3 linked regions of the Mus musculus genome follow. The protein of the gene in region 3 interacts with the protein of the main gene of each other region in a biochemical or structural test. Links are inferred from orthologs where the notes say so. Each region holds a gene or a part of one and is shown on either strand. Other genes may lie near its edges.

The links.
Region 1: the proteins of Apbb1 (region 3) and Lrp1 form a complex in vitro, tested with the Homo sapiens proteins (2 studies listed by BioGRID and IntAct, with this or other methods). The link is inferred for Mus musculus from reciprocal best matches to the Homo sapiens genes APBB1 and LRP1.
Region 2: the proteins of Apbb1 (region 3) and Evl form a complex in vitro, tested with the Homo sapiens proteins (2 studies listed by BioGRID). The link is inferred for Mus musculus from reciprocal best matches to the Homo sapiens genes APBB1 and EVL.

Annotation. Positions count from the first base shown.
Region 1 is NC_000076.6:127,535,451-127,545,278, reverse strand, and holds the end of Lrp1 (prolow-density lipoprotein receptor-related protein 1 precursor), read left to right. Parts: intron 1-591; coding exon 592-860; intron 861-2,013; coding exon 2,014-2,192; intron 2,193-2,605; coding exon 2,606-2,712; intron 2,713-2,977; coding exon 2,978-3,094; intron 3,095-3,463; coding exon 3,464-3,640; intron 3,641-3,904; coding exon 3,905-4,045; intron 4,046-4,155; coding exon 4,156-4,329; intron 4,330-4,498; coding exon 4,499-4,660; intron 4,661-4,951; coding exon 4,952-5,126; intron 5,127-5,319; coding exon 5,320-5,421; intron 5,422-5,547; coding exon 5,548-5,612; intron 5,613-5,716; coding exon 5,717-5,807; intron 5,808-5,901; coding exon 5,902-6,046; intron 6,047-6,188; coding exon 6,189-6,329; 3' UTR 6,330-7,122; downstream 7,123-9,828. UniProt on the Homo sapiens protein: Endocytic receptor involved in endocytosis and in phagocytosis of apoptotic cells. Required for early embryonic development. Involved in cellular lipid homeostasis.
Region 2 is NC_000078.6:108,678,102-108,687,937, reverse strand, and holds part of Evl (ena/VASP-like protein), read right to left. Parts: exon of another isoform or gene 8,781-9,836; intron 8,110-8,780; coding exon 8,049-8,109; intron 6,448-8,048; coding exon 6,384-6,447; intron 6,368-6,383; exon of another isoform or gene 4,757-6,367; intron 4,744-4,756; coding exon 4,677-4,743; intron 4,591-4,676; coding exon of another isoform or gene 4,528-4,590; intron 1,889-4,527; coding exon 1,822-1,888; intron 1,531-1,821; coding exon 1,473-1,530; intron 1,147-1,472; exon of another isoform or gene 1-1,146. UniProt on the Homo sapiens protein: Ena/VASP proteins are actin-associated proteins involved in a range of processes dependent on cytoskeleton remodeling and cell polarity such as axon guidance and lamellipodial and filopodial dynamics in migrating cells.
Region 3 is NC_000073.6:105,569,026-105,578,861, forward strand, and holds part of Apbb1 (amyloid-beta A4 precursor protein-binding family B member 1), read right to left. Parts: intron 6,515-9,836; exon of another isoform or gene 6,405-6,514; intron 5,392-6,404; 5' UTR 5,378-5,391; coding exon 4,657-5,377; intron 294-4,656; exon of another isoform or gene 215-293; intron 206-214; exon of another isoform or gene 1-205. UniProt on the Homo sapiens protein: Transcription coregulator that can have both coactivator and corepressor functions. Adapter protein that forms a transcriptionally active complex with the gamma-secretase-derived amyloid precursor protein (APP) intracellular domain.

The sequences.
Region 1 (9,828 bases), on a different chromosome or scaffold from region 3:
TCTGGGGAAGTTCTATGAGAGCAACACTCCTGTGTGGCACACAGTGTCCCCTCCCCTCTCCTAGATTGAGAGTATAGTCCGACTCACAGTCACATGCACCCACCTGCATGTTCCCTCCATGCCCTGACACAGCACTGCACCTTTCATATGTCCTCACACCGTACATGTACATGGTATGCATATACACACTCCCATGTATACATACATTTCTCATGCCTTGCACATATCCTCCACATCTCTGTACCGCTTCAGCACTTATCAGAGTCTGTAGCAGACCTACATGCTAACCAGAGACCACAAGATAGAATTCTTGGAACTATCAGGAAGCAGGTAAGAGAAGAACAGATTTCTGAAGGGTCTGGTCAGTCTGGATCAGCTTGGGGCACAGGTTAGAGCCCTTGGATCTGCCATTGGCTCCACCCACACCGGAAACATCCCCTTCTGTCTAAAACAAATGGTCTGGTTAGATCGGAGGCTACTGTAGTGTGACAGGGTCTTGGTCAAATGTGTCCCAGGGATGGAACTCGGGCCCTGGGTTCTCACCTCTACCTTTCAAGCCCATCTGATAGGTGGTCTCTCTCACTCCGGCAGGCTCCGAGTACCAGGTGCTATACATCGCGGATGACAACGAGATCCGCAGCTTGTTCCCGGGCCACCCCCACTCAGCCTACGAGCAGACATTCCAGGGCGATGAGAGTGTCCGCATAGATGCCATGGATGTCCATGTCAAGGCCGGCCGTGTCTACTGGACTAACTGGCACACGGGCACAATCTCCTACAGGAGCCTGCCCCCTGCCGCCCCTCCTACCACTTCCAACCGCCACCGGAGGCAGATCGACCGGGGTGTCACCCACCTCAATGTAAGCATCCAGCCTGTCAGAGATGGGGTGGAAGAGCTCCGCAGGACAGAGTGTAGGGGCTGAGAGGGCAGAAAACTAGAAGACAGGAGTGGTCAGGTCAGCCTGCTAGGCACAGCTAACAGCCAGAGCAATAAGTAGTATTTGGGGCTGGAGAGATTGCTCAGTGGTTAGGAACAATAACTGCTCTTCCAAAGGTCCTGAGTTCAATTTCCAGCAACCACGTGGTGGCTCACAACCATCTGCAATGGGATACGATGCCCTCTGGCACTCAGCAGCATAGCCTACTCTGATACCTCTGAGTCAGTACTGGCCAACTTGCTTAATGCGTGGGCTTTACTTTATTGACAAAATGAATAATAGCTCTCCTGGGCTTAAGTAGAGTTCAGAGGTGGAATGTGTGAAACCCTAGGCTTGATCCTCAGCAACAATGAAGATATAATAATACCTAGTCTTCTAAGCTTCTTTATAGATCTGGCTGCTTGGGTTTTTTTGTTTTGTTTTTTTTGTTGTTGTTGTTGTTTTGTTTTGTTTTGTGCTAAATTTGAACTAAAGACTTCATGGATGCTAGCCAACTGCTTTAGCAATGAACTACACTCCCAGCTTCAGACTGCTTTTTTTTTGTTTTTTTTTTTAATACATTGAGTGTGTGTGTGTGTGTGTGTGTGTGTGTGTGTGTGTGTGTGTGTGTGAATCACATGTACATACCACGGCACACATGTAGAAGTCAGAGGACAACTTGAAGTTTGTTCTTTGTTCCTACCAGGAGTCCCAGGGATTGGAACTTAGGTCCTCAAGCTTGGCAGCAAGCACCTTTACCCACTGAGCCACTTCACTGCCCCCACCACTTTTTAAAAGTGAGAATTAACTAGAAAACCATGAAAATGTGCCTGGCATGGTGGCGCATGCCTGTAACTCCAGCTGTATTCATAGCAGAGGAAGGAAGAGCAAGAGAAAAGGGTCAGTCTAGGCTACACAGTGAGTTCCAGATCAGCCTGGGCTATGAGAGAGACCTATTCAAAAGCAAAAGAACCTAGAAACTGTGGTCACGTCAGTGTGGGGTGACAGACAAGAACAGGTGGGCAGACCAAGGAGAATGGGGGTGACAATCAGGGAGACAGAAGATGGCAGTCGCTGAACATATGACCCCACTTAGATTTCAGGGCTGAAGATGCCGAGGGGTATCGCTATCGACTGGGTGGCCGGGAATGTGTACTGGACCGATTCCGGCCGAGACGTGATTGAGGTGGCGCAAATGAAGGGCGAGAACCGCAAGACGCTCATCTCGGGCATGATTGATGAGCCCCATGCCATCGTGGTGGACCCTCTGAGGGGGTGGGCACGGGTCCTGGGGGGGAGGTATCTGGGCTGGTGTCCCTCAAGACAGGTGGTAGGCTCGACATCCACAGGCAGGGGGCAGAGACCTCAGGCTGCTAGGCTTCTCCAGTCCTGGCCCTCCTAAAGCCTCTGTCGGGGACTCCCAGTTGAATAGCTTTACTGGCAGCCAAGATCTGGGACCCCCTGCAGGCATAGCCCTGCCCATTCAGATGCTATTGGCTTAGCACATTGTAGTTAGAGCAGATGATGCTAGCATGGGTCGGCAGCTGTCTCCTGGGGCTCATTGAAGGGGACAGGGTGTTTCCTCACAATACCCAGGAGCGTCCACACCAGGCCAGGTGCCCTCTCTTCCATCTCACTCTGTCTCCTTGGCCCTGGGATCCAACCCACTCTCATTTCTCCCTTCCCAGCACCATGTACTGGTCAGACTGGGGGAACCACCCCAAGATTGAAACAGCAGCGATGGATGGCACCCTTCGGGAGACTCTCGTGCAAGACAACATTCAGTGGCCTACAGGTCCCTGGGGCAGGGGTAGGGTGTGGAAGGGGCAGACTCTGATCATGGCTGCTTCAGAAGTCACCCCTGCGTGCAGTGGGGCGGGCAATCTCCAGCAGATCAGGCCGAGGGCCATGGGAGTGCTTCCCGGATGGGCGGCTGGGAGAGATCCTATGAGCCGGGTAGGATACATGCCGTGGATACCAGACAGAGTCAGCTCTGTTCTCTGCGCCCAGCCTGGCGTGACAGAAGCTGATCTCTGACAGACAGCATTCTCTCACCCCAGGGCTGGCTGTGGACTATCACAATGAACGGCTCTACTGGGCAGATGCCAAGCTTTCGGTCATCGGCAGCATCCGGCTCAACGGCACTGACCCCATTGTGGCTGCTGACAGCAAACGAGGTGAGGGTGCTGGCAGGCTTGGTTCCCATCATGGTCCCCAACATCATCATCAGGCTTCTCACTGAGCTCAAGGATGTCTCTTCAGAAGCCTGGCACCCAGCCAGCCCGTGAGCCTGCGCCTACCTGACCATTTTATTCACTCTACCAACAAGTATCAAGTTGTGTGGGGTCAGCAGGGTAAATGAAGGGAGAGAGAGCTAAAGTCCCCCATGGCCCCAGAAATCTTGGGGGTGATGAGACAATTTGCCAGTGGCAGGGATAGTTCTAGATATGTTAGGTCTGAGACGCCTACACTGACAGGTGTCTTAAAGACTGGGTCCAGGGCCCAGGCGCCTGTAGTGACTTAACCTGGCTGTCCCTGCACCCCAGGCCTAAGTCACCCCTTCAGCATCGATGTGTTTGAAGACTACATCTACGGAGTCACTTACATCAATAATCGTGTCTTCAAGATCCACAAGTTTGGACACAGCCCCTTGATCAACCTAACTGGGGGCCTGAGCCATGCCTCTGATGTAGTCCTTTACCATCAACACAAGCAGCCTGAAGGTGCATCAGAGGGAAAACCCGGGGTGTGGCAGGGTGGGTCAGTGATAAGGAGGGTGCCGGGCAGTGGTGGCGCATGCCTTTAATCCCAGCACTTGGAAGGCAGAGGCAGGCAGATTTCTGAGTTTGAGGCCAGCCTGGTCTACAGAGTGAGTTCCAAGGCAGACAGGGCTACACAGAGAAACCATGTCTCTGGAAAAAAAAAAAAAAAAAGGAAAATGTTCTAAGTCCACACTGCTCAACATCGACCCCTTCCAACACCCACAGTGACCAACCCCTGTGACCGCAAGAAATGTGAATGGCTGTGTCTGCTGAGCCCCAGCGGGCCTGTCTGCACCTGTCCCAATGGAAAGAGGCTGGATAATGGCACCTGTGTGCCTGTGCCCTCTCCAACACCCCCTCCAGATGGTATGCATGCCCTTTTCCTGGGTACCTGAGGATCCCTTACCTATAGCCTCTGGCTCCCCTTACCCTTGACCCCCTTCCCCTTCCCATGCTCTGATGAGCTCTTACTGCAGCCCCTAGGCCTGGAACCTGCACTCTGCAGTGCTTCAATGGTGGTAGTTGTTTCCTCAATGCTCGGAGGCAGCCCAAGTGCCGTTGCCAGCCCCGTTACACAGGCGATAAGTGTGAGCTGGATCAGTGCTGGGAATACTGTCACAACGGAGGCACCTGTGCGGCTTCCCCATCTGGTATGCCCCCAACCAGGGATGGTCCTCTCCCATCATCCTCACCTGGCCCCTTCTATCGCCTCCAGCATCCACTTCAACCCCATCTGTTCGTCAAGGTGCCTAGGATCCCTGCTATAGGCCCAGGTGGTCCCCAGTGCCATGGTCCCACTCACAGATCCTCTCCCACCAGGCATGCCCACGTGCCGCTGTCCCACTGGCTTCACGGGCCCCAAATGCACCGCACAGGTGTGTGCAGGCTACTGCTCTAACAACAGCACCTGCACCGTCAACCAGGGCAACCAGCCCCAGTGCCGATGTCTACCTGGCTTCCTGGGCGACCGTTGCCAGTACCGTGAGTATTCACCTCAACCCCAGGGAAGGAAGAGGGGAGCCAGAAAGAACCCAAAGGAGCAGGTTGAGAGGATGGAAGACGTACGCAGATGAGCCAAGCCCAGGCTGTGGGTGCTGCCTCTCATGTTGGCGCATCTGCCTAAGCCTCCAGGCATTCAACACAAGGAATGCTTAGGGTCATCCTAGTGTTCTGGGGTCTGTGACAGGGCATTAGGAGGCTCAGGAGTGGGTGGGAGTTATTCATAAGTCCTGGACCCTGCATAAGGTACTTCCTCTCCACTCCCAACCACAGGGCAGTGCTCTGGCTTCTGTGAGAACTTTGGCACCTGTCAGATGGCTGCTGATGGCTCCCGACAATGTCGCTGCACCGTCTACTTTGAGGGACCAAGGTGTGAGGTGAACAAGTGTAGTCGCTGTCTCCAAGGCGCCTGTGTGGTCAATAAGCAGACCGGAGATGTCACATGCAAGTGAGTGGGGGGTCTTGCCTCCACATTCTGCTCTGTCTTCTGGCCCCGCCCCATCCTGCCCCTCCTGGGCCCGCCCCCTCTCCGGGCCCTTCCGGCCCCGCCCCTATCTTGCCCCTCCTGGCCCGGTTCCTGTTCTAGCATCCCAGATACCCTTCTGCAAGCCCCAGCTCCAGATTTTGATTCCTTTCCACAGCTGCACTGATGGCCGGGTAGCCCCCAGTTGTCTGACCTGCATCGATCACTGTAGCAATGGTGGCTCCTGCACCATGAACAGCAAGATGATGCCTGAGTGCCAGTGAGTTGGCCCCGCCCCATCAAATCTGAGCAAAGGAACAATATGACCTATGACCTCCTAGTTCCTGCAGCTAAAATGGTCGTGGAGGTGATGCCCACCCACTGAGTTTTGCTTTCTTGCCTGCAGGTGCCCGCCCCATATGACAGGACCCCGGTGCGAGGAGCAGGTTGTTAGTCAGCAACAGCCTGGGCGTAAGTGGTGGGGAGGGCAGGGCTGCCACGACATAGAGCAAGAAGAGCCTTACACCTCCCATCTCCCTAGGCTTCAGACTCAGTTTCCCGACTTCTCTCTCCAGATATGGCCTCCATCCTGATCCCTCTGCTGCTGCTTCTCCTGCTGCTTCTGGTGGCTGGCGTGGTGTTCTGGTATAAGCGGCGAGTCCGAGGGTGAGCCACTGGGAGTCTGAGAAATTCTGGCTGTTATTTTACAATCCGATAACCTTACCAACATCACGGTTCCCTGACTCCTGCCTCTCCCCAGGGCTAAGGGCTTCCAGCACCAGCGGATGACCAATGGGGCCATGAATGTGGAAATTGGAAACCCTACCTACAAGATGTATGAAGGTGGAGAGCCCGATGATGTCGGGGGCCTACTGGATGCTGATTTTGCCCTTGACCCTGACAAGGTATGCCAGAGGCCATCGAAGGGGCTTCTGGAACAGGATCAAAGGCCGGAGGGGTGGGGTTGGGGTGATCAAGGCAACCAGAGGTGTTACACAGAAGTGGGAGCTGGGGTATTCTAATCATATGAACCTTTTTTTTTCCCAGCCTACCAACTTCACCAACCCAGTGTATGCCACGCTCTACATGGGGGGCCACGGCAGCCGCCATTCCCTGGCCAGCACGGACGAGAAGCGAGAACTGCTGGGCCGGGGACCTGAAGACGAGATAGGAGATCCCTTGGCATAGGGCCCTGCCCCGACGGATGTCCCCAGAAAGCCCCCTGCCACATGAGTCTTTCAATGAACCCCCTCCCCAGCCGGCCCTTCTCCGGCCCTGCCGGGTGTACAAATGTAAAAATGAAGGAATTACTTTTTATATGTGAGCGAGCAAGCGAGCAAGCACAGTATTATCTCTTTGCATTTCCTTCCTGCCTGCTCCTCAGTATCCCCCCCATGCTGCCTTGAGGGGGCGGGGAGGGCTTTGTGGCTCAAAGGTATGAAGGAGTCCACATGTTCCCTACCGAGCATACCCCTGGAAGCTGGCGGCACGGCCTCCCCACCACGCCTGTGCAAGACACTCAACGGGGCTCCGTGTCCCAGCTTTCCTTTCCTTGGCTCTCTGGGGTTAGTTCAGGGGAGGTGGAGTCCTCTGCTGACCCTGTCTGGAAGATTTGGCTCTAGCTGAGGAAGGAGTCTTTTAGTTGAGGGAAGTCACCCCAAACCCCAGCTCCCACTTTCAGGGGCACCTCTCAGATGGCCATGCTCAGTATCCCTTCCAGACAGGCCCTCCCCTCTCTAGCGCCCCCTCTGTGGCTCCTAGGGCTGAACACATTCTTTGGTAACTGTCCCCCAAGCCTCCCATCCCCCTGAGGGCCAGGAAGAGTCGGGGCACACCAAGGAAGGGCAAGCGGGCAGCCCCATTTTGGGGACGTGAACGTTTTAATAATTTTTGCTGAATTCCTTTACAACTAAATAACACAGATATTGTTATAAATAAAATTGTAAAAAAGGAAAAAAAAAAGAAAAGAAAAGAAAAGAAACCCACTGTGTCTGCATGCTAATGTGAGAATTTGGGAGCTGGGGCTGTGCTTGCCTGTTCCAGCCACCAGAGGGAGCATTGCTGCATGCTGGAGGCTGGCCTGAGAATCCTAAGGTCCACGTCTCCAGCCCCACTCCATCCTCCTGTCTTGCTATGGCAGGGAAGAGCTGTTTTGCTCAGTGTATGACCTTGAGCCTTATGATGTGACTGGTAGGATCTGGTGTCACCCGGCCCCAGTGCATTGACTCAGACATGTGCTTCACTGTTCTCCTGCCCTACACTGGCCCCACAGTGAGATGCCACCCTAGAAAAAAGCACACTGGGTAATGAAGGCCTTTAGGAAGGTCTGCTCCATGCTCCTTTTGAAATGTTGACATCTCACTCTATGACCTATGAGTAAAACCCTGGCTGTTGGGCCAGCAGAATGGCTGGGTGGGCAAAACACTTGACTTTGCAAGCCTGGTAGCCTGCGTTTGCTCTTGGAACCCATGTAAGAGTGGGCAAGACCACCGGGCAGTGGTGGCGAACGCCTTTAATCCCTGCACTTAGGAGGCAGAGGCAGGCGGATTTCTGAGTTCCAGGACAGCCAGAGCTACACAGAGAAACCCTGTCTCGAAAAACAACAACAACAACAGCAAAAAAAAAAAAAAAAAAAAAAAAAAAAAATGGGCAGGACCAGCTCCGTAAAATTATTCTCTGACCTCCATATGTACGCTTTGGCAAACACAGAATTTTTTTTTTTAATTAAATACCTGCATTAGGGGATGAGATAGAGGGGAGGAGAGCCAGCAAGGCTCAGTTTGCCCATCAGCTTCCGACATATGCCTCTCTCTCAACAAACATTGCAGACATTCCAGGAGTTGACCAGGAAAGGACTTACACTATCTTAGTTGTTCCAGATCTCCTTGAACCTCTTTCAAAGGGGAATGAACCCCTTGCGGAAGACTATGCAGCTTTACACTGTCCAGGACTGGGGGAGGGTTAGAACCCTGCTCTTCTAACAGCAGCAAACAATGCCTCCCAAAGGAGCTGTCCAGCTTTTCATCTCTGACCCTCCCAGGGTATTTCTCCTTTGAATCCTCCCCTCGGGGAAGCTTATGGGTAGATGAACATCCAAAGACAAGACCCTCCTTTTCTATCATCAATTTTATCTCCAACCTCATCCCTGAAGCCCGGCTATGAGATCTTCCTTGCTCCTCCAGACTCCTTATGACTCTGGGATGAGCGATCCTGCTGGGAATAAAATGGGGGTGGGGGTGGGGGTTGGGGGGGGGTCATTGTTGATCCTTAAATGTTGACTTGTGGCTCTTTCTGGCCACCAGGTGGCGTCTACACTGCTGTAACACTGCTTATCCTAAAGCTCCCCACACTAATTATGCACCTGCTGCCGAGGACCCTAGCCCAGCCTCTCACTTCCTTCCCTGGGGCTATTTTGCGCTGACCCTTCTACCCTCTGTCAGCCATCTTCCTTCCCTCCCCCAGAGTCTGCTCATTCCCCACCACCAGTAATCCCACCCTCTCCACCCCTTCCTTCTGCCAGCCTGCATCTGTAGCCCCCCCCCCCCCCGGAGCCACTGATTCTCTGCCTGTCACCTCAAGATCTCGGGTAGAACAAGACAGGCCCCCAACTGCTGCTTTAGAAAGCCTACCCCTTCGTTAGCACCCTCCCTCTCTGGCCAGGACCAGAAGGGTGCACTATCTTCAACCAAGCCAAATGCAAGGGAGTCTCAAAAACCAAAAAGGACACTGACTGATTCAGATCAGATTGAAAAGCAGATATTCTTAGATGGAAAGAGTCAGGGACAGAGGCAAAGACCCAGAGATAAGTACTGTGCACATGTGTGTATGTGTGCATGCACTTGTAATCTCTGAGAGAATTGGACGGCCTGAGATTAGCTAAAACGATGGTGATGGGGAGGGTCAGGTCTCCTACAGATAGATACTTTGGCCGTGGGCTTCTAGGCACCCAGGATGTGTGACCACCCTTTGCCTTCACCCAGAACTAAAGCAGCTCCTTTGCTTAGGGTCAGCCCTGGCCAGCCATTTGGCCTTGTCCCTGACACTTTGTCTCATCCTGCCTTTATTCGTTCAGCCCTGACTGCACCCCAAATCGCTGCTCCCTGGTTTTTGTCTCCTTGAGTGTCACCAAGTACACCCCTGTCCTTTCCCTGACCCTCTTTTCAGTGTCTGTCACTTCCTGTGTGTCTGTTATTTTCATATCCCTAGGCTTGTCTTTCAGATTGCCTGTGTGTGTGTGTGTGTGTGTGTGTGTGTGTGTGTGTGTGTGTCCCTGTGGGTATTTGCCTCTGTCAAGGCAAGAGGTACTTTGGGTACCTAGCTGTTTCTGTATATCACTGTATGCTACTGTGTGTATAAATCATGTGTGTCCGTCTCTGTGTGCTTATGTGCCTCTGTGTATGCTGGTCTGTATGTGAAGTGGCCTCACTGCTACAGTGTAGCAGGGTACTATTACAGTGGGGTAAGACTGGAGACACACCTTGGGATGTGTGTCTGTCTCTTCATCTCTTTGCATGGTCCTATCTCTTGCTGTCTAGGTGTTGGTCATACTACCTACTCAGCCTCAGACACAGCGCATAGCAACAGCTGACAGCTGAAGACTCCCTGGGTAGGGGAGAGAGAGAAAGACCAGTGGGAGGAGGAAACACGAAGAAACAGCCCTGAGGATGAGAACAGAGACCGTGCTGGA
Region 2 (9,836 bases), on a different chromosome or scaffold from region 3:
TGGCAGCTCTGATACAGACCTTTGGGGAGGAAACCTAGCCCTCATGGGCTTCTACCCACTAAAGACAGGAACGTGAAAAAGCCAAAAACTATGCCTCACCCCAGAGCTGGGTTGGGCTGCTTGTAGGAGGGACCCAGAGTTTCCCTGATTCTGACATCCACTCAGAGGTGTATGTGATAGAGCGGGAGTCTCTGGCTGCAGAGCTGTTATGGACTATGCTAGTACCATGGCCTGGCCTTTCTCCTCTAGGACAGGTTCTGTTCTGGACACCTGAACATCTGTTAAGTCCTCCCAAATGCCTCCTTTCTTCTTCCGGCCCCCTCATTCTGCACCCCATTGCTTAGCTCCCCACACTCTCCCTCCCTCTTTCACAGGCCTCTGGTATCCTCCCAGTGGACAGACATGGCTGGAGCAGGGTCACCGTTAAGTAATGGGATCTCTGCAGGTTCAGGACCCTCACATACTTTCCAGGGGCTCAGAGCATGGACCTACACGGTGATGGCAGGCAGTGACTGAAGCAGTGACAGGAGAGCAGTGACTTCTGTGCCCCTGCCTCCCTGCAGAGGGACAGTACTCATCATGTCTTACCACTCCCTGTCTCTTCCCAGGTAGCTAGCTGTCTTGAAGATGGCCTGTTGCACTCAGTGTTTCCTACTCAGCTATTTTCCCAAGTGCCAGAAAGGGAGCCCCTCCCAAACCCGCCCTGCCCTGCCCCACCCGGAAGCTGGAAGTGCCTGGCAGCCAACTATTCTTTAGCTGTGCTGCTTCCTTCCCTGCATTCATGAACGCTCAGACCTGTATTCCAGTAGGACTGGACAGACAGGACTTGCGCCCTCTGTGGCCAAGGGTTGTAGCTGCTATAGAGACTGGCCACCAGGTCCTCACAGTACATCTTCCCCATGGGAGTCTGTCATTAGCTGCCCCTCTGGCTTCATAGGCCTTTCTAGGACAATCACTGCTGCTGGCCTGGGAACCAGTGAGAAGCGAGGCAGCACGTGGGCAGCAGGCATAGGTGCAGACGCAGGCTATGATTTGCTGCTCTGTTCCAGCCCAAGTCATCCCTCAAAGGCCCTGGTGGGGTCAGGTGCGACACAAGGGTCACAGTCTCAGTTTTTAGTTTCCCAGAGCTCTTCTGGGAAGGAGAGAACACCATGTCTGCTCATACACAGGATCATGCAGGCTGTAAGGAAGCTCATCGCCCTCCTGAGGCAGCATTGGCAGGGCTGGGCAGGCAACAGATGTGAACAGGAAAGGACAGAAACTAGGGGGTGTTTCCACACCCACCCTCTCCTGCACACGTGATCTGAGAGGATGCTGAGGAGAGGGAGGTCTCAGACACAGAAGCCACACCCAGCGAGAAATGCAGTCTTGGTAAAGCACTTTGTTTTTCTGCACCTGTTTCCAGGGCTGCTCACTGGGGCGAGTGGGGTGCTGGGAGGGCAGTGAGCGCACCCTGGCTGAGGTCCACTCACCATCAATGATCTCCTCCTTCACCTTGTGCAGCTCCCGAACCACCTCCTCCAGGATCTCCTGCTGGGCAGAGCCTCACAGTGAAGGGACAGACGCTGGCTCCAGGGGTATGCTGCAGGGCTCTTTCCCTCAGCCTGGCCCTGGGCAAACCCTGCCCTCACCACCCCTCAGTTTATGATGGCTGCCCACAGGGAGGGGTTCCAGAAGCAGGCTGCAGGGAACTCAGACTCTCCTTTTTCCTCTTCTGGCTAGGTTCCTGCCTTTGTGGCAGTCAAGTATGAGACCCACTGGATAGAGCTAGTCCTCAGCCTGCTGACTGGCCCCCCCCACCCCCAGTCCCCCGGCTCTCACCTGTTTCATCCGGTCCAAATCTAAGGCATCCAGGCCCACGTCATTCACACTCCCAGCAGGCTTCACCCTGGAATGGGAAGGTGGTTGCCAGGGTCTATAGGCACCTATGCTGGGGAGCCCTGGGGTGTCAGAGTTCCCTCCTTTGGGCTCCCCTGCCCTTCTGCTGTATTTTACCTAGGGCTGCTGGGAAAGGCTGTGCAAGTCCTGCCTCTGAAAGGTCTCTCCACAATCCCTTAACCACATTTCCAAGTCTAAGTCAGGACATGGGGTCATACAGGAACAGTCTTCTGGCTTGAAAGGCCTTATGCAGAGTAGGCAACTGAGCCAGACTGCGTCTGTGCCTCCTGCCTCACTGAGGAGGGGTGGTACTAATCATGTCTTCTGCCACCAGGAGCTCGTGTTCCTAGCTGAACTCTGGTTGGTGAAATCAACCAGAATTGATGAAACTGTAGTTATCTCCATGCTGGGGTAGCACTTCAGCTAGCACTCCCTGGGCAGGAAGTGGCTCCCTTACTTCTGCTCTTCCTGAAGCATTCAAGGATGTGCTTTGCTCCTTCTTATTGGTTATACTTTGAACAAGCTCTGGACTGACATCATTGATCTGAACGTCAATGCCTTGTGCACAGGCACTCTCCCAGATACTCACTAGCCACAATGTGAATCTAGCTCGGGGGTCTTTCAGGACATGGTGGGGTGCTGACAGCAGACAGAGTCTGGACCCAATCCTCTGTCCATGTGGAGAGAAGAGCTCTGAAGCCTGTGGCTCCAGGGAAAGGGATGAGGCTGGAATCAGGTAAGGGATTTCATTCTTGGAGAGAGGCCTTGGCCATGTGTCTGCCCAGGGAAGGACACTGAGGAGGTGGAAGCATGTGGGATATGATGGAATTTCAATGTCCATTTATGGGGACAACTTGCTGTATAAGGGGTGATATTAGGAGAGTGAGGGCCACTGATCTCCAAAGTTTGGGAGAAGAGGCTGAAAATGAAGTCAGTTATGGTGCTGAACAGGTCTACCGGGAATTCTGGGTCCTGACAGGCAAACACACCCAAGCTTCAGGTCCTCCCAATGGGCTGCAGGTGCCATCTCAGCAGTGACTGCTGGGGACCTGAATCATCTAGCTTACTCTCTATGCCTCAGCTGTCCCTCGTCCACACAGCAGCCATCATGAGCAGCATGTATGCTGTGAGCAAGTGGTTACTGTACATTTTCAGTAAAACTAGAGACCAGTGCTGGGACTAGATGCCCAAGGTGGGATGCTACCAAGGTGGGAGGGGGGCTTCCTTCTCTGAGGAGAAGGGGAAGGGGCAATGAGGGGAGGAGTTTGTAAGGGTGGAACTGGGAAGAGAGAGGGAGTGGGGCTGTGATCTGGATGTAAAGTGAATTTTAAAAAATTAAAAAGATAGCAAGAGAGAAAGGAGAGGGTGGAAATGAATCATAACAAAAACACTGGAGATCAGATTTTGCCTGAAGCTGCAAAGAGATTTCATTCTTTTTTTTTTTTTTTTTTTTGAGACAGGGTTTCTCTGTATAGCCCTGGCTGTCCTGGAACTCACTCTGTAGACTAGGCTGGCCTCGAACTCAGAAATCCGCCTGCCTCTGCCTCTCAATTGCTGGGATTAAAGACGAACGCCACCACTGCCCGGCGAAATTTCATTCTTGAAGAGAGGCCTTGGCCATGTGTCTGTCCAGGGAAGGACACTGAGGAGGTGGGAGCATTCTCTGAGAAGCCACGGCAGTGAGGACTAGCTCTGAGGAAGACCACAGGTCTCTGCCAGCCCTCCTTTTCTGTGTCAGGTGTTCTGCAGGGAGCATTCGTGTGGGAAATCAGCTTGCCTGAGTGCTCATGGTCAGTCTTTCTGCCTCTAGCCACACTGCCTGTTCTTCAACTTTGCTTGGGTGGCTGTGTTCAAGGCACTACCATCTTCCATCTCTTCCGGTTGATGGCTGCTTCCTGAATCTCGGCAGCACATTCTCTCACTCAGAGGCATGGCCAACCCCTCTCTAGAGCTTCCACGCAGACCATCATTGCCCTCAATGTGGCCTGGAGCTTCTAGGGACCACAGCTGTCCCTGGCACGCAGCCTGGCTCCCATGGCCTGCCTGTCAGGGCTGGGCTAGAGCTCTTGCTCACCACTTTGTTTTACTCTGCAGGCCTGGCTTCTGTAGTCACCTGCTCTGTGACAAGAGCTGCTTGCTCCCATTGGGGTGGCCAGTAGAGAGATTGCCTGCTACAGGCTCATGGACCTTCAAATGCAGGCATATTTGGCTTCAGTTACCATCTTTGTCTTTTGGGTGAGCTGAGTTCTCAATGGTCTATCCTGCTGTTATATTGGCATTTGGTTTGGGAAACAAGGACAGGAGAAGCTGACTTTCAAGAAGGCCGACTATGCGAGCTGCATGCAGAGACGATCTGAAAGGACAGGGTGCTGGTGGCAGGGACTGACTGCTTGGGTTTGCTTCTCTCTCCTCTGTCAGTCATGCCTCTGCAGAGCCCGGGCCTTCTCTTCTTAGGAGAGGAAGCCAGCCTACACCCCTATGATGGCCTCTAGTTTTGCCTCTCTCCAGGTCTGAAAGAGCAGACTACCCTTCCCAGAGCAAGTTGTTAATACTAAGACACAAGACAGGGTTGGGGGTGTTAGTCATGAGCCAGGGGACAGAGGAGACCGCAGAGCCTGGGCAACACATGGGCAGGAGGGTTGTCGGTACCTAGAGTGAGGCTGCGACTGAAGGGGGCTCTTAGCTTCGGGGCTCTTTGCCACAGACGGGGTTCTACGGCATGGAATGAAAGAGACATGTGAACCGGTACCAGATCCTGCCCGCAGAGCAGTCTCTTGGCCCTTCCCAGAACAGCTCACCTGGACAGCAACGAGGACACAGGTTTCTCCACCGAGTTGCTCCGTTCCCAGGGTTTTCTGCCAGCCTCTGCCAATTCATTTCATGAAGGATCAGAGCTGAGAAGATTCAGTGTCACCCACTCCCAAGTCCTCTCTGCAGGAGTCTATCAGACTTTGGTGCAGAGCCACAGTGGGAGCTGCTAAGAGTAGAGCTGCAACCTGGCCCCGAGTCTCAGTCCTCTTTCATCAGGAACTGTAGGTAGCCTGCTGTCACCGCATTCCCCACTATTCCCTTGAAACCTGAGTATTCTACATAGAACTCGATTCAGCTGGTAGGGAAGCGGCAACTCCAGCTACAAATGAGCAGGCAGGGATATGAGCCAACACTCTCATCGGTCTTGTCCTGGTATATCTCCGGTGGCCAGGCTTCCTGGATCCCACTGAACCTCTGCCCACTAGTCTCTTCACACTGAGTCTGGCCTGCTTCCTTCCTGAGCCTGAAGTAGCTTTCCCTTTTCTAAGTTTAGTGTACAGGCTGAGGGCGCCTCATACGGATGCCTGGAACCAGTGGTTATTGCAGATTCAGAGTTCATATGAAATTCACTGCAAGTTTTAGAATTTGGAGCATTTTGCATTTTTGGACTGTGAATACTCAACCTTTGTTGGACTAGATTACAATTCATGTTTCAATTCACAGGAGAAAGACTGAACTGAGCAGAACAAGCGAAGGGACATTGGGTTGTCCTGCCCTAAGCTGAGCCTTGTCTGCAGAGCAACCGCAGGTCTGAGGCAGGTTACCTCAAAGCCACCTGGCAGGTGCACGGGGCCTATAGAAACAAGATCTGGACCACAGCCATCCTCCAGGTGTGTGGTGCACGGGGCCTATAGAAACAAGATCTGGACCACAGCCATCCTCCAGGTGTGTGGCCTCAAGCAGAATGCTTGGCCGTGGGTAGTCAAAGGCTGCTAAGCATAGGAAATCCCCGTAACCCACAGTAGGGAAATGAGGACAGTGACAATGAGCAAGCCATCTAATGTAGGCAGCAGCACTCCAGGAAGTCCAGGAAGGCTGGACACATGCACACTGGTGTGAACAAAAGCTGACAAGAGCATCTATCTGTTCAGTGGGCGACCTGACTCCTCTGCTTCACTTCCCACATTCATGAGCCCCAGGCTTGGCTCGAAGCTGACAATGAGTGTGTGGCTAGTTGAAGCCAGCTTCTGGGTCTTGTCCCTTAGCTAAGTCTCATAACACTGTCCTAATCACAAACCGGGGGCCACAGCTGACTGTAGGGACTGGGGCAGGGTCAGGGGTTGTGCTTCTGGTAGAGAAAGGTGGATTGGTGATCTAACTGTAGCATTAGTCTAGTTGGCATTACACAGGAGAAACCAAGTATGACATTAAATAGCTTCTTGGTCAGGGGGTGGCTAAGCAGTAGCGTGGTAGCTTGCTAGACTAATGTGTGGAGGCTCTGGATGGTTAAAACCCCAGCACCGCTGAGTGTCCACTGTGAATGGAATTGTTGGTGTTTTCCCCTTAGCTGGACCAGATCAAGGGCCCCTTGCCACACCTGCCTAGCTGTCTGCTTGGGCTCCCTGGGGAAGTGTGGAAGCTCTGAGGACCTGGAATTCAGTAGATCTGATGCTCTTATCCATAGACTGAAGTGGCCATATCAGCTGACTGCTTGCTCTAAGATCTCAAGACTTGTAGGGTAGGTACCCTCTTACCTGAGGAATTAGGTGGCTGGCTGGTGGCTCGGGTACCTGGGGATGGGGAGGTGCTAGGGTCTTCCTAAAGTGAGAGAGAAGGTCCTGTCATTAGTCTGCTAGCAACAAGGTAGGGTACCTCTGCGCCAGCTTGCTTCCCGCATGTCCTCAAGGCATAGGCTCAGTCTATGTCTCTCAGTCAAGAGCACAATCCTTACATCACTAGGCTGGAGACAGTGAAGCAGGGACCTCAGGAAAGCACCCTGCCCAGGTCTTATTTATACAGAAGATCTGCCCCCCCTTTTTTTTTAAAAGGTGAGAAAATGAGGCCCGACGAGGGTTTCAACAGAGCCTCACTAATGAAAGCCACTCCTTAAGGCTCTATGGCCCGACGGATTCTGAAGCTGAGGCTAGCGAGTACTTGCGGCACCTAAGAAAAGCCAGTGCTGACTCTGCAATCCGAGGCCCAACACACCCATGTAAATATCCAGTGGCACTGGCCAGCAAATCTGGCTTAAGGCCACAGGGATCGAAGACACAGGGCAGTTGGGTGAGAACCCCATTTTGGTCCCTAGATAGTTCTGCAAGGCAGCCCTGTCTGTATGAAGGGCATGGCAGAAGCAGAGAGCTGGGGAGTGAGGGTGACCTTCCTAAGCTGAGGTCTGAGAGGCAGGCCATTCTCAGTAAGGCTCATGCAGCAGGTACAGGCTGAGAGAGGCCATCTGGTGAGCACAAAGCACTACACATGCCCAGGCCTAGTGAAGTGGCTTGTGTGTAGACTGAATGAGGAGAACAGACTGGCAGGGAGGCCTAGAGCCCAGGGGCACCAGACCCACCTCAGTGGCTAAGCATGTAAGGAAGACCAGGCAGGCAGCCTTCATGCTGTTTGTATTAGAGGCTTTTACTCAGCAATCCCGGTAGAATGCCATTAATTATTATTATTATTATTTTGGTTTTTCGGGACAGGGTTTCTCTGTATAGACCTGGCTGTCCTGGAACTCACTTTGTAGACCAGGCTGGTCTCGAACTCAGAAATCCGCCTGCCTCTGCCTCCTAAGTGCTGGGTTTAAAGGCATGTGTCACCACGCTCGGCTCTTTTTTTTTTTTTTTTTTTTTTTTTTTAAAATAAGAAAGCTTATCGTGTACATTAAAAAAAAATGGTCACCATAAATAGAAGTTGAGGCTAAGAGCTCTGTGCTGACAGACCAATCTCCACATGCCTGCCAGGGACTAGAGTCCAGGGTTCCAGAACCCTGCCATGGCTGGGGAGCACAGCTCCCACTGGGCTTGATGGATACTCAAGTGGTGTGTTTAGAACTATAAGTAACTTGAAATAAGACCACTCTGACTTCAGGCTTCAGTAGATGGTTCCAGTCCCTTTGATGCAGCCCTGGCATGCTGGAGCATAATGGTCCTGAGTTCCCTGGGATTCTCTAAGCACTCCTGCTGGCCGGGACTTTCCTGTCTACTTCTGCTTTCCCTGCTGAATGATGGCTCCAAGGGTCTGGTCAAAAGAATTCTCAGGAGATGCAAGCCTGTCTGGGCCTGAAGCTTGACGGGATCCCTGTCCCTCCCTCACAGCTGTGTCTAAACCAGGTACTCAGCTTCCGGTGACCTCACCGGGAGATGTGCTTACACCAGAGGCAGGCCTGACGGTGTGGGCCGGCTGGGTAGAGTGGTGCCTACCGTTTGGCTCTCATCTTCCTTTCTGTCAGCGGGCTTGTCTGTCTGGGAGGCTGCCTTTCTCCTAGATGTTGGGGAGAAAAAAAAATACAAATCAGCTTCCCAAGGTCCCCCGTGGACGGGAACTCTGAGCTGCCTCTACTCACACTTGGTTCCCTGACAGACTGTGTGTAGCTTAGAATGCTGGCTTATGTGGACAGGCCACTCGTTAGGCACCCTACTTTCATGAGCTAAGGCTAGTGGCTAAGACTTTCTATACTCACCTATGACCTACACTCAAAACTGGTCTGGGCAGGAAGTAAGCACTTGGGGTGTTTCTTTGCTTACTGAGCTGGTGGTGGCCATCGTTTCTGAGGGAGAAACATGGTAGTGTTTAGGTCCCCCAGGGGACAGGGTTACTTAAGGCCTGCAGATGGACTGGAATCCTGGACCGGTCTGTCTCTTTTGAGTCAGAGCTGTGGGAAGCTTTTTTTTGCAGCTGAAGAACCTCAGCTCTAGCATCATGTCACAATGGGTAAGATTTTCTCTTGCCACACTTGTGTCCTGGACCTCAGTTAAGCTAGCCACGCCCTTTCCGGTCTAGAAAAACATTAAGGAGCTAAAAGCACCCAGGAGAGCTGCAGGGCTCTTCTATACTCAACTCCTGCATTTTCCTCTTACGCATGAATCTTCTACAGGACTCTAACTTTATTGGTGCATCCAGGTCTCATGTCACCTGCATCTGCTTCCTCCCAGGTGTAGATACAGGCCTCTACTTCCCAGCAATGTGCTCCAGTGCATCTTCAACTGTGAGGCCTCTCATAACCTGAGGTGAGCAGCCCACCTGGAGTGAAGTGAGCCTGTATGTGCTGAGGACCTGTCTCCGGCTGCCTGTGGCAGGGTTCACACAAGCTGTCTCAGGATGGGGCAAGAAAGAGGAACAGCAAAATAGCTTTAGAACTCATGGACTGGTCCACCATAGCCAGCTAGCACAAGCACGATGGCTGTGCCCGTGCCTCGGCGCAGCTGCTGTGGCTGCCTCACAGTCCATGAGTGCAGGAAACTTTGAGGGGCGTCCAGCCTCACTGGGCAGTGTCACTGCCACTCACAGTAATAATAATGGAGCTTTGTCAAGCATCGATACTGGAGCAGATAAACGATTCAACCACCACCCTTAGAAGGAATTTAGAGATATAGATTGTTAGTGGCCTTGGGGAACAATTTGAAGGTCAGAAAGTAAAACTATTAATAGTTGAGTGAGGGAATTTTTTTGAGGACAGGGAACAAGAAACAATGGTAGCCTGACTGGTCCTAGCTGATGCACCTCTTCCTTCCCGAGGCTGGGCTGGCGAGCAAGGTGATGACTAATTTCTTGTACTCACCTTTGCCCTAGCTTCCTGATGTTACTTAATGAAAAAAATCGTTAATGAGTAGATGCACCCTGGGGACTTAAAATAAAAATGACTGTTTTTTACATAAAAGTTTAGATTTATGATTCTCTTAAGATTTTATCATTATTTTTAAAGATAAATAATAATTCTTTCTTTGTAACTGCAAATTGCAGCCTGCCAGTAAGAGAAACTGGCTGAGAAAATTATTTTGCTTGCTTTTATTTTGTTAATCTATAACAAGTTGCTTAGTTATGAATGCATGTGGGTTCTTGGGAATAATCTGTTGTTGTTGTTTTAAACCTGTACTGTTTAACCTGTTCTAAGAAAAGTTTATTCATGTGAGAGTATTGGTAAATATGTTTTTCTATGAATACTCACTGTAATGGATCACTTAATGAAAAATAGAAGGTAATCACATTGT
Region 3 (9,836 bases):
AAACACCAGGAGGCTCAGCCTCTTGGGAATAGCTCAGCCACCTGGGGCCCTGCAGAATCTATAGGACTCAACATAAACAGGGTGTGGCTTCCAAACCCTCGGGGATCCTTCTCCTAGCTAGACTATCCAGCACTTGCAACTAAAGGGTGGCCTTTGAGGGCCTAAGCCCTAGCAAGCTGGAGGATTTGAGGCTTCCCAGCACCACCCCCCTCACCTGCCAGGGCCCAGCTAGGCTGCAGTGTCTCCTCGGCAACCGCAGCACCGGGATGGCTGGGAGTGCCCAGACTGCTGACGTGCTTCCCGTTACCAAGGAAACCAGGAATCCTGACTGGTCCAAGAGGCAGCACTGAGGGACAGGCAGTCTCAAGATCCAGGCTGCTGGGTACTAAAGGCACAGAGGGGCTGGGAGTAGGTCTGCCTATGCCAAGGTGTTTCCCCACCTAGCATGAGTTATTCGACAAGGAGCTTCTCCATCCTCAGCCTGCAAATGAGGTAAGCCCACAGGCACCCAATGAAAAGGAGCTCTTTTTGCCCATCTACCTGCTAGGCAGCCATCACTGTGTCTCCACCCTCTACTATCTGACTCTACTGAGGCTCAGCAATCATGTGTTTTCCCCCAGATCCCCTCAGGACTTTGCCGCTAAAACCTTCCAGGAACACTAACCCCAAGGGCCCTTGCCCTCCATAGCCTGCCTCATGGTCGGTCAGGCATTTCTGGAATCTGGGGGCCAGTTCACTGTTTCCCCTGACTGAGTCAAGCACACACACACACACACACACACACACACACACACACACACACTGATCCATCTGCCATTTCTGTCAGCCTGTGCTTTCCTGCTTCAAAAAGCTTCGTCCTTCCGATCTGTCCTGGAGGGGGCAGCTCCTCACCCCCCTGACCATCTGGGAGGCCCTTCTGGAGCTTGGCACATCTCTCTCCAAGCACAGCCCACCCGGGGCCTCTGCTTCCATACACACGCACTAATAACACAACCGTACACTCTCCTGCAGGCACTCACGTGAATCCAAATATCCCCATGGCCCTTTCTTCATTCATCCATGAATGCCTTAGTGGCTTAGGCAGGCAAACTACTTTGCTGATGCTCTCTCTCTCTCCTCCCCTCCCCCCTGCACCACATCATTACTACAGACCAGGCGACCAGCATGCTTTAATCTGGATTACGGCAGAAGCCTCTCAACTGATTTCCTTCTGTCTCCACTACAGGCTGCACACTGTAGCCTGAATGATTCTTAGGAGACGCCAAACTAATCAGGTTACTCTCCAGCTTAATGCTCTTAACTGCTTTCTCATTACCTTCAGGACAAAATCCAGACCCCTCCACAGGTTTTATGTGCTGCTAAGAGCCCCTAGCTTTCTGCCTCTCAGCCTTGCCTCTGACAATTCCCCAGATTGGGTTCACTCCACCTTCAGACAAGCACAAAGGGAACTCTCATGACCGACCCTCTCCTCCAGACTCTCTCAGGCAGGGTACCCTCCTAATGATCCTCTACCAACCCACTTATCATCACTGATTGTGAGTCTATTTCTGTTTCCCCACTGTGAGTACCGAAAGGGTAAGAACATCTTTGGCCTTTCTTACACATTCTCAGCGTCCAGGACAAGGCCTTGCTCAGAGTGTAACTCCAACATAGGTAATGACGTTCATTCATTCATCATTCATTCACAAAAATCACTTAATTCACACAGTTCATTCAGTCAACAACTGCTTCGTGGAGATCCTAAAATGGGGAGAAAACCAACTTCGGTTCCATCCTACCCCATTTCTACTGAGCAGAAACCCACCACCTGCAGTTCTCATGGCAGAAGCAACACAGACAAGAACATTCCTCCCCTTGGGACTGGCCTAACGCCTGCATCCAACAACTCCTAGAATCCACCAGGACTACTTTGCTGAGTCTCCTCTCACCCCTCCCATGGCCTCCCTGAGATCACTGGCCATACCCAGCACACCCTTAGTTCTTCTGTTCTGCTACCCTCCCACCTCAAAGGACCAGAACATAGCTATCAGCGATGACTTCAGGAGCCACTAAGCAACCAAGCCCCTGTTTGGCCAGTGAGCCCCCTGTCCAGGGTTGCAAGCTGTAACCTGCAGTGCTACAAGGCTCTAAGATACACATATGTCCTGCACAGAGCTCTTGAAAAGACAGAAATTAGTTGCTGAGTGTTAGCATCCAGAAACTGAGATAGTTTACATCAGAATCTAACTTTCAGTTTGTACATTTTTTTCTCCAAACTCAATCTAATAAAGAACCAGCTTGAGTAAAACAGATGTTCCCTTTACAAAGGATGGGGACATTGGCCATCAGAAGCCACTAACATGACACAAAGAGAAATAATTACCGTTGGTAAGGTACCACCTATGAGGTGTTCTCAAAGAAACAAAACAAATGCCACTCAAACCTGAATCTGGTAAAGGCTCTAGAATTATCTACTACATTTATCTAATTATCTATTACAAGAAATCTAGAAGAGGAATATATTCAAAAACACTTAGGGAGAAAGGCTTAAAAATTCACATCATAGAAAACTCAGGACAGAAATGTGTGTGCACACAATCAATAGATAAATAAAGGGAGAACTTATATACATTTTAAAAAATTTAAAGCCAGGTGTTATGGCTCATGTCTATAATCCCAGCACTCAGAAGAGAGAGGCAAGGGACCAGTTTGAAGTCAACTTGGTCTACATAGTGCACTGTGAGATCTAGGTTAGCCAAAATGACAAGATTTAATAACCAAAATGAAAGAAAGGGAGAAAGAAAGAAAGAAAGAAAGAAAGAAAGAAAGAAAGAAAGAAAGAAAGAAAGAAAGAAAGAAAGAAAGGAGGGACGGAGGGAGGGAGGGAGGGAGGGAGGGAGGGAGGGAGGGAGGGAGGGAGGGAGGGAGGGAGGGCAGGCGGGCAAGGGAGGGGATAGGAGGGGAGGGGAGGGGAGGGGAGGAAGGAAGGGGTCAGCAAGAGAGCTCTTCAGGTAAAGGTGCTTGCTGCCAAGTCTAGTGACCTGAGTTCAGTCTCCTGAACCCACATGTTAGAAGCAGAGAATCAGCTCCTGAAAGTCATCCTCTAATCTGCCCATGCATGAGCATGCATTTCAAACAAAACAAAACAAAAGCATAACCATTGTGGCTCATCTGAATATCAATCCATATAGTTCTCCTCTTTTCAAAAGGCTAAGTGGGACATTTACCACACAATGTGGAGAATGTTAACATTAAGTGGACATCTGATGATAGGAAGGAATCACAATTTTTGTTTCTATATAAGCAAAACAAGGCTGGGTATGTGGGCATAGTGGCTCATGCCTATAGCCAGCCCCAGGACAGTTTGGTAGAGACAAGGCAAGTGTAGGGTCCATCTAGGTTACACAGAGAAAAAAAATATAATATATATATAAAACATATGTATAATATATGTGTATATATATCCTAGATGGGGTTCAGAAGTAGATAAGACATTGACCCACCGAGGTCACTGTGCATTGATGATTACTGAAACTGAGTGATGAATAAGTCAGGCTCATTACTGTGTTGCCTCCACTTCTGTATGTGCTTGAAAACATTCAGTTAGGCTTTTCAACAAAGCGATGGGTGGAGCTCTCAGGTATCTGAAATGTATGTCCCCTACCAGGAACCATTTGTAGGGTATAGGTACTATTAGTACCTTAGAAGTGAAAGTCCTTATCTCTGCCTCCCATCTCTCTTCCAGGCATAGAACCCGGGTCATGCATGCTAAGCACATTATCTAGCATTAACTTATATCACCCCTCAACTGCAGCTTTTCTTATATCCCCACCCTCAGATCTTCTGGGCTGTAGCTGTAGCTACAATAGAGAAATCTTTACTCTCTATAACATTACCAAATACAGAACTTCAACTTTATTAAACAGGTCACATTGAGTGATCAGTTGATCACTCTTTGTTCTCTAGTATCTCCCCAGGAGGAAGCATCAGTGTACTTCTCTGTCCCCTAACTTTTAGCCAGCATCTCATTCCCGGCAACATGGCATCCTTGCAATGGCCGGCACGGCACTCTGCATGCGGCATGTGGTTCATAAGTAGAAGCCAACCCCCACACTTTGCAGACAGACATCTGTGGGAAGATGCTGGGTGCTCCCTCTGGACGTAGATGTGACTGCTAAAAGAGGCCATGTGCACTGGTGACTGCGTAACACAGGGCTCAGCACTCACGCAGGTCTAGACTCAGCTCTGCTTTCGATCTTAGTTGATCATGAGCTGGGACTGTCTGTGACCCTCAGGAAGCCACTAAACTTGCCTGGGCCTCTTTCTCATCATTTGTAATTTGGCCTTAGAAAGAGTATGTCTTTCTAAGAGACATTGCTCTAATTACTGAATGCCATAATGCTTAGCAGAGGGTCAGTTTCTCAGTAAGCACTCAATAAACCAGTGACGCTACACATCAACCACGGCAGCACACATGATGAATAGAGTCAGCCTTCATGGCATGCATGATGGACATGGATGTATCAAACTGTCCAAGCACCCCCTGACTGAGAGAATGTTGGACTGAGGGTATAGGCTCTGCAGCTCATGCTCAGGCTGGCCTTGGCCTCTGCACGGAGAAGCCAGACTTCTGACCCCATGCCCTCCCATATTGCCACATCTAGCTCCACAAGGTACCTGTGTCCTCCGGGGAGCCATAGGAGGGGCTGCCCTGTGATAAGGTGGCCCAGCTTGAGTCCTCATCACTGGCTGCACTGTTTCGCATGCCAAATAGGAGGCTAGCACTCTTGCTGTGTTCCCGGGGGCCGTCTGTGAGGGCCTGGGGCCCAGAGGGGACTTCCACATTCTCCAGAGGCTCAGGTAGCCCTGGAGGAGAAGACAAGTCCTCCTCCTCCTCCTCCTCCTCTTCGTCTTCATCATCCTCCTCAGCCTCTCCTGCTGCCTTCTCCTCTCCTTCATCTGGTCCCTGTTCCTGGGTGTTGATGATCAAGGCGGATCCATGAAGCCCTCGGTTGGCTGCATTGTGGGCCGAGAGCTCCAGCTCAGAGTATAGATGCATTAAGCCTTTGGGACCCAAAGGTGCCGTCTCAGCCTCCTGGCTGGCCTCCTCCGCCAAGGTCAAGGTCACATTTCGGTTCTGGTCTCGGTGGGCTGTGGCAGCCCTCCGAAGCTGGTTCTGGCCTTCCTTTAACCACTTGGCATTGGCAGGGCCTGGTTCAGGCACACTACCCTCTCCCATAGCACTTCGAAGGTCCTTGGGTACCACAGCTGTGGCTTGCAGCTTGGCGTTGAGCAGCTGGTTATGGGCAGCGTGCAGGGGTAAGGGGAAGCTGAGTGCAGGGCCTCCGTGGCTGTTAGCGTTAATGGCCGACTGGCTCAGGGATGATGGAACAGACATGGCCTTGGTAGATCCTGTGAGACAGGGAGGAGAGACCATGTTGAGTGTTCCTGTTGCTGCCCCAGACTTAGGTCCTGTTCCTCATCTTCTTGTAACTCAGTAAGCCAGCAAACACCAATCCATGTGCCATGAACTACATTCCCACCAGACACCTGTCCCTACAGCCCCATCCCCACCACAAGCCAGGCCCAGCTCTGCAACCCAGCCTTTTCCCTTGTGTTCTGAGTAGCCCAGTGGTGCCTGCTTTCTCTTTACTACCAAAAGCAGGATGTCTGCACAATGGCGCTCTGTGCATCCCCACGCCCCACTTGACCAACTGGGGCTCACTGTGCCAGGGACACAGACAGCACAGCACAGCACAGCACAGCCTTCAGTGGTTTGGATACTAAACACCGACTGCCACAGTGCTATCTGGAGCCTCATCGTTGCCAGCCCCCTGGGCTGTGTTCCCTTCATTATAAGTCACTAATACAGTCATCTCTAAGCCCACTCTACACTGGGGACTAGTCAGACAGGAATGATGGATGTGTCCTGTCAGCAGACATCATGAAAGACAGCAGGTCACAGAGGAAGGGCCTTCAGCTCCAGCTCTTGGCTCTCCTGACTATAGACAGTGTCTGTGAAATATCTCACCTAGGGTACCAGGCTCCCCTGCCAGCCCTGGTCAAGGGCTGGTCACCTGGTTATGGCATGGTCACCTCAGGAGACTCTAGCCTTTCAGGTCATTGTCCAAGGATCACTATGAGGAAGACTTTTCCTACACATCCACTTTTAAACTGTAGGCTACCTTTCCCCAACTCAGTAACCCATTCTTCCCAGGCATGGATCATCATCTACCATGCTAATTTAGCTTTTGTATTTGTTTACTGATCTACTCCTGGCTAAGTTCTATGTTGCTGAAAATTCTGCATTACTATTGTTGTTATTATTTTCAATAAAATACTCCCAGCTTCTAGCAATGTCCTGGTACAGAGCAAGAAGCAGGAGCCCAGAAATTACCATTCATTGAGTAAGTATACAAACCTACCCTCACATCTCCCCAGACTCCATTTTAGACTCTTCTCAGAAAACACTTCATTTCATGCTTTGGATCTGTCTGTCTCAGCAGTAGCTCTTGGTACCTCAAACACACTCTTCCCAGTCTACATGTGAAAGGGGACCTCTTGGTTAACAATGTCATCCATTTCTCAGTAGTCTTCCTCACCAGTTCCCACCAGGCTCTGAGTATGACCTATCCTCCCTCAAGGGACCCCCTCCCCAGACCTTCCCTCAAGGCCAATCTGTCCTTTTCTCTGTCCCTGCCTATTCTGGAACTCTATGAACCCTGCTCTCCTTGGAACCCCCCAACACTAGTTCTTTCCCCACCATCCACCTCCCACTCACTCTCAACTCTCACTGCAAACCCTCCCTCAGTCAAGCCCTGTTGTCACTCTCCCTCCCAATGGTTTCCCTCAAAGTTCCCTCTTTCTACTGAACCCTTCCTCTGCACACAAGTCCCCAACAACCCAGCAGTTGCAGGTCTTACTTTCTGACCCCCCCTGTGCAGCTCTTCCCTTTAACATCTTACTCAATGCCCCCCACTCCTTATTCTCTAGCTGAGGTGTCTGACTCTGACTCTCCACTGCCTCAGTGTGCCCCAATGCAGAGTAAGTGCAGATGTTATAGGGTGCCCAAGCGAGGCTCTCTCCCATTTCTTCAGGCTTAGCCAGGGATCCTGAGACAGAAGCCACTATCTGCATTTTTACCATTTCTAGCACCTGGGAATCTAGCACAATGCTCTGAATAGTTGTATAAAATAAATGAAATAAGGTTTCTGTCCATGTGTCTGCTTCACCTTCATGTTTAACTAACTGCTGATCTGATCAGGGTGGTTCCACCTGGGCTGTGAGGAAACTCATGGTCACTGGAATAAACGAAGGGGAAAAAATAGGCAGTTCGGTCTCCACCCAGAACCACAGTGATTTTCCAAAAATGGAAACCAGATTGTGTCACTCCCCGCTTGACAAAATTAAAGGGCTCACCACTGCCTTTAGGATAAAGGCTGAGCTCAGTTTACAGGATACCTGAGAGGCCACTGCAGCCAAACCTAGCACCTCTCAAGCCATCCCTCCCTCCCTCTCACACCTTATACTCAGCCACATGAAGTATGGGAGGTTCTGGAACACATCAAACAAAGCCTAAGTCTTTGTTTACATTGTTCCCTCAGCCTGGAATCCACCCCTTCTTGTAAGAACCTCCTCCTTGTATTTCAAACCTTCCCTCAGCTCTCAGGGCTCCTAAGCAATCTTCCCTGGACTTTCTTTACCCTCCAATGACCACTCCCTTGTCTGTGCTCCATAACACCTAGCGTCACATGCTATCAGAAAATATGAAACTCTGTCTGACTCAGTATTACAATATCGGCATAAAGGGGAACATGTTGTGTGTCTGCCAGAGTGGCCACTGTAAAGAAGGATAGGACGGATGATGGGGGCAGACACTGGAGAACTAGGTACCTGGGAGCTTGGCACTGGCTGGGAACAGATACCCAGGAAGCTTGTCCTGTCACCTTAGGCTAGAGTGGATGAAGGTGGTCTTAAGGAAGGAGCTAGAGAATGATGAAGGGGGCCTGACCGGGAAGATGGGACAGAGCCTGGCCAGGTAAGGCTCCGGTCTGTGAAAAGAGGGAGAAAAAGAATGAAACCCGAAGTCCTGGCTCACTGACTGTTCAATGGCAGCATCTCACAGAGACCCCATGCCTCTGACAGCTCACAGGATATCAGGAATGATGAACTCTCTGAGGCAATGGTGGAGAAAAGCCATGTTTCTAAGTCAGGCTGGGACTGGCTTTCATAACACTAGGAAATGTACCTGAAGAGAACACAGGTTCTGTGTCACTGGGTGCGTGAAGAGCCAGGTTGACTTTAGGGCAGCCCTGACCATCAGGACACCAGAGAAGAAGGCAATTTTAGATTAGATTGGGTAAGTTTGTTGCAAGTGCCGAGACATAGCCGTCTAGCCTGAGGCAATGTGGCCACCACCCTGACTTTTTGAAGCCAAAAAGATAACCAGGTACATAGTTTCTTGAAAAAAGAATAATCCAATCTCTCCTCTCTCACTGGGGTTATCTATACTTGGGACATCTCAGAGGATAAAAAGGTGCCAACATGGTTCATAACATGAGTGATCTTGCCAAAAAGCCAGATGACCGAGCTCAATCCTCAGGAACCACACGGTGGAAGGCAAAAATGAACTCCATAAATTGTCTTTTGACCTCCATACCTTTATATCTTCACTGTGGCTCCTGCATACCTACACCCCTCTCCTCCACAAAGATAAATGTACAGCACGAAGCTAAGTCGGGCCTTGGGTAGAGACTAAGGAGGAACCCACAAAGCCTGAAAAGGCTAACATCACACCATAGGTCAATGAGCTGAGTCCTGTCCAAAGCCAGGAGTCTTCCAACCTGACAGCCTACAAGATGCCAGGCACTGCACTAAACATGGTCAAGGGTATCAACAATAGAAAATGGTTCCTCCCCTGGAGGAAGTCATACTCTTGGGAGTCACTGCACAACTCCTTACTGTATAGTAGGACACCAATCTCTAGGACAATTCCTAGTATCTATAAGTACTTTCTTCTTTTTTTTTTAATTTACATTTTATTTACATTTATTTTTTATTTACATTTATTATTTTGTGTGGGGGCACACCTTCACTATAGCACAAGTGTGAGAACAACTGAAGAGAGTCTGTTCTCTCTCCACCACGTGGGGCCTGAAGACTGAACTCAGGTCATCAGGTTTGATACTAAGCATCTTCGTCTGCTGACATCATCGCACCTGCCCACCAAAAGGCACTTTTCATTGGTGGAATAAATCAGTTACTGTGATAGAGAAAGAATACCACATGACTAGACCCTTGGCTTTCTGCAGCTCTAGGAGCGAAGCCTGCTTGCACATCAATCTCCTGGACCACCCCTCAATTCTCCCAGTCTCTCAATTTCCTTTCCAATTCCTGGAAGAAAGGGAAGTCACTAATTGGGGAACATCCTCAAACCCCAAACGGGATGAATCTGTTCTTTCTCTTTTTGTCTAAAACCAAGTGTTTCGCCTACTACTTAGATGTAAGAGCAAAGTGTTTCTTGGCCTGACCTTCCCTTAAGCTCCTTAGGGCCTCTTTCTCTCCACACTCACTACAGCCATTTCCTCTCTTCCCTTTTGGCTTTTTTAACTCTGCTTCCATTCTCAGTAAGACTTGGTAACAGCATCTACTAAGGTCCAGATGGCCCCCCTGGCATTTAATAGATGTCTGGCCAGCATGTGTACTTTCAGCAGAATTTAGCCTCAGGAGCCCCTTGTCCAGTGTGCATTCATAGCTTCCATGATCTACATTCCTGGATTTCTTTCCATGAATCTGGCTACCCGTTTGTTTGGGGTTTTGTTTTGTTTGCCTGCTTGTTAAGACTTCCTTGCTGGCTC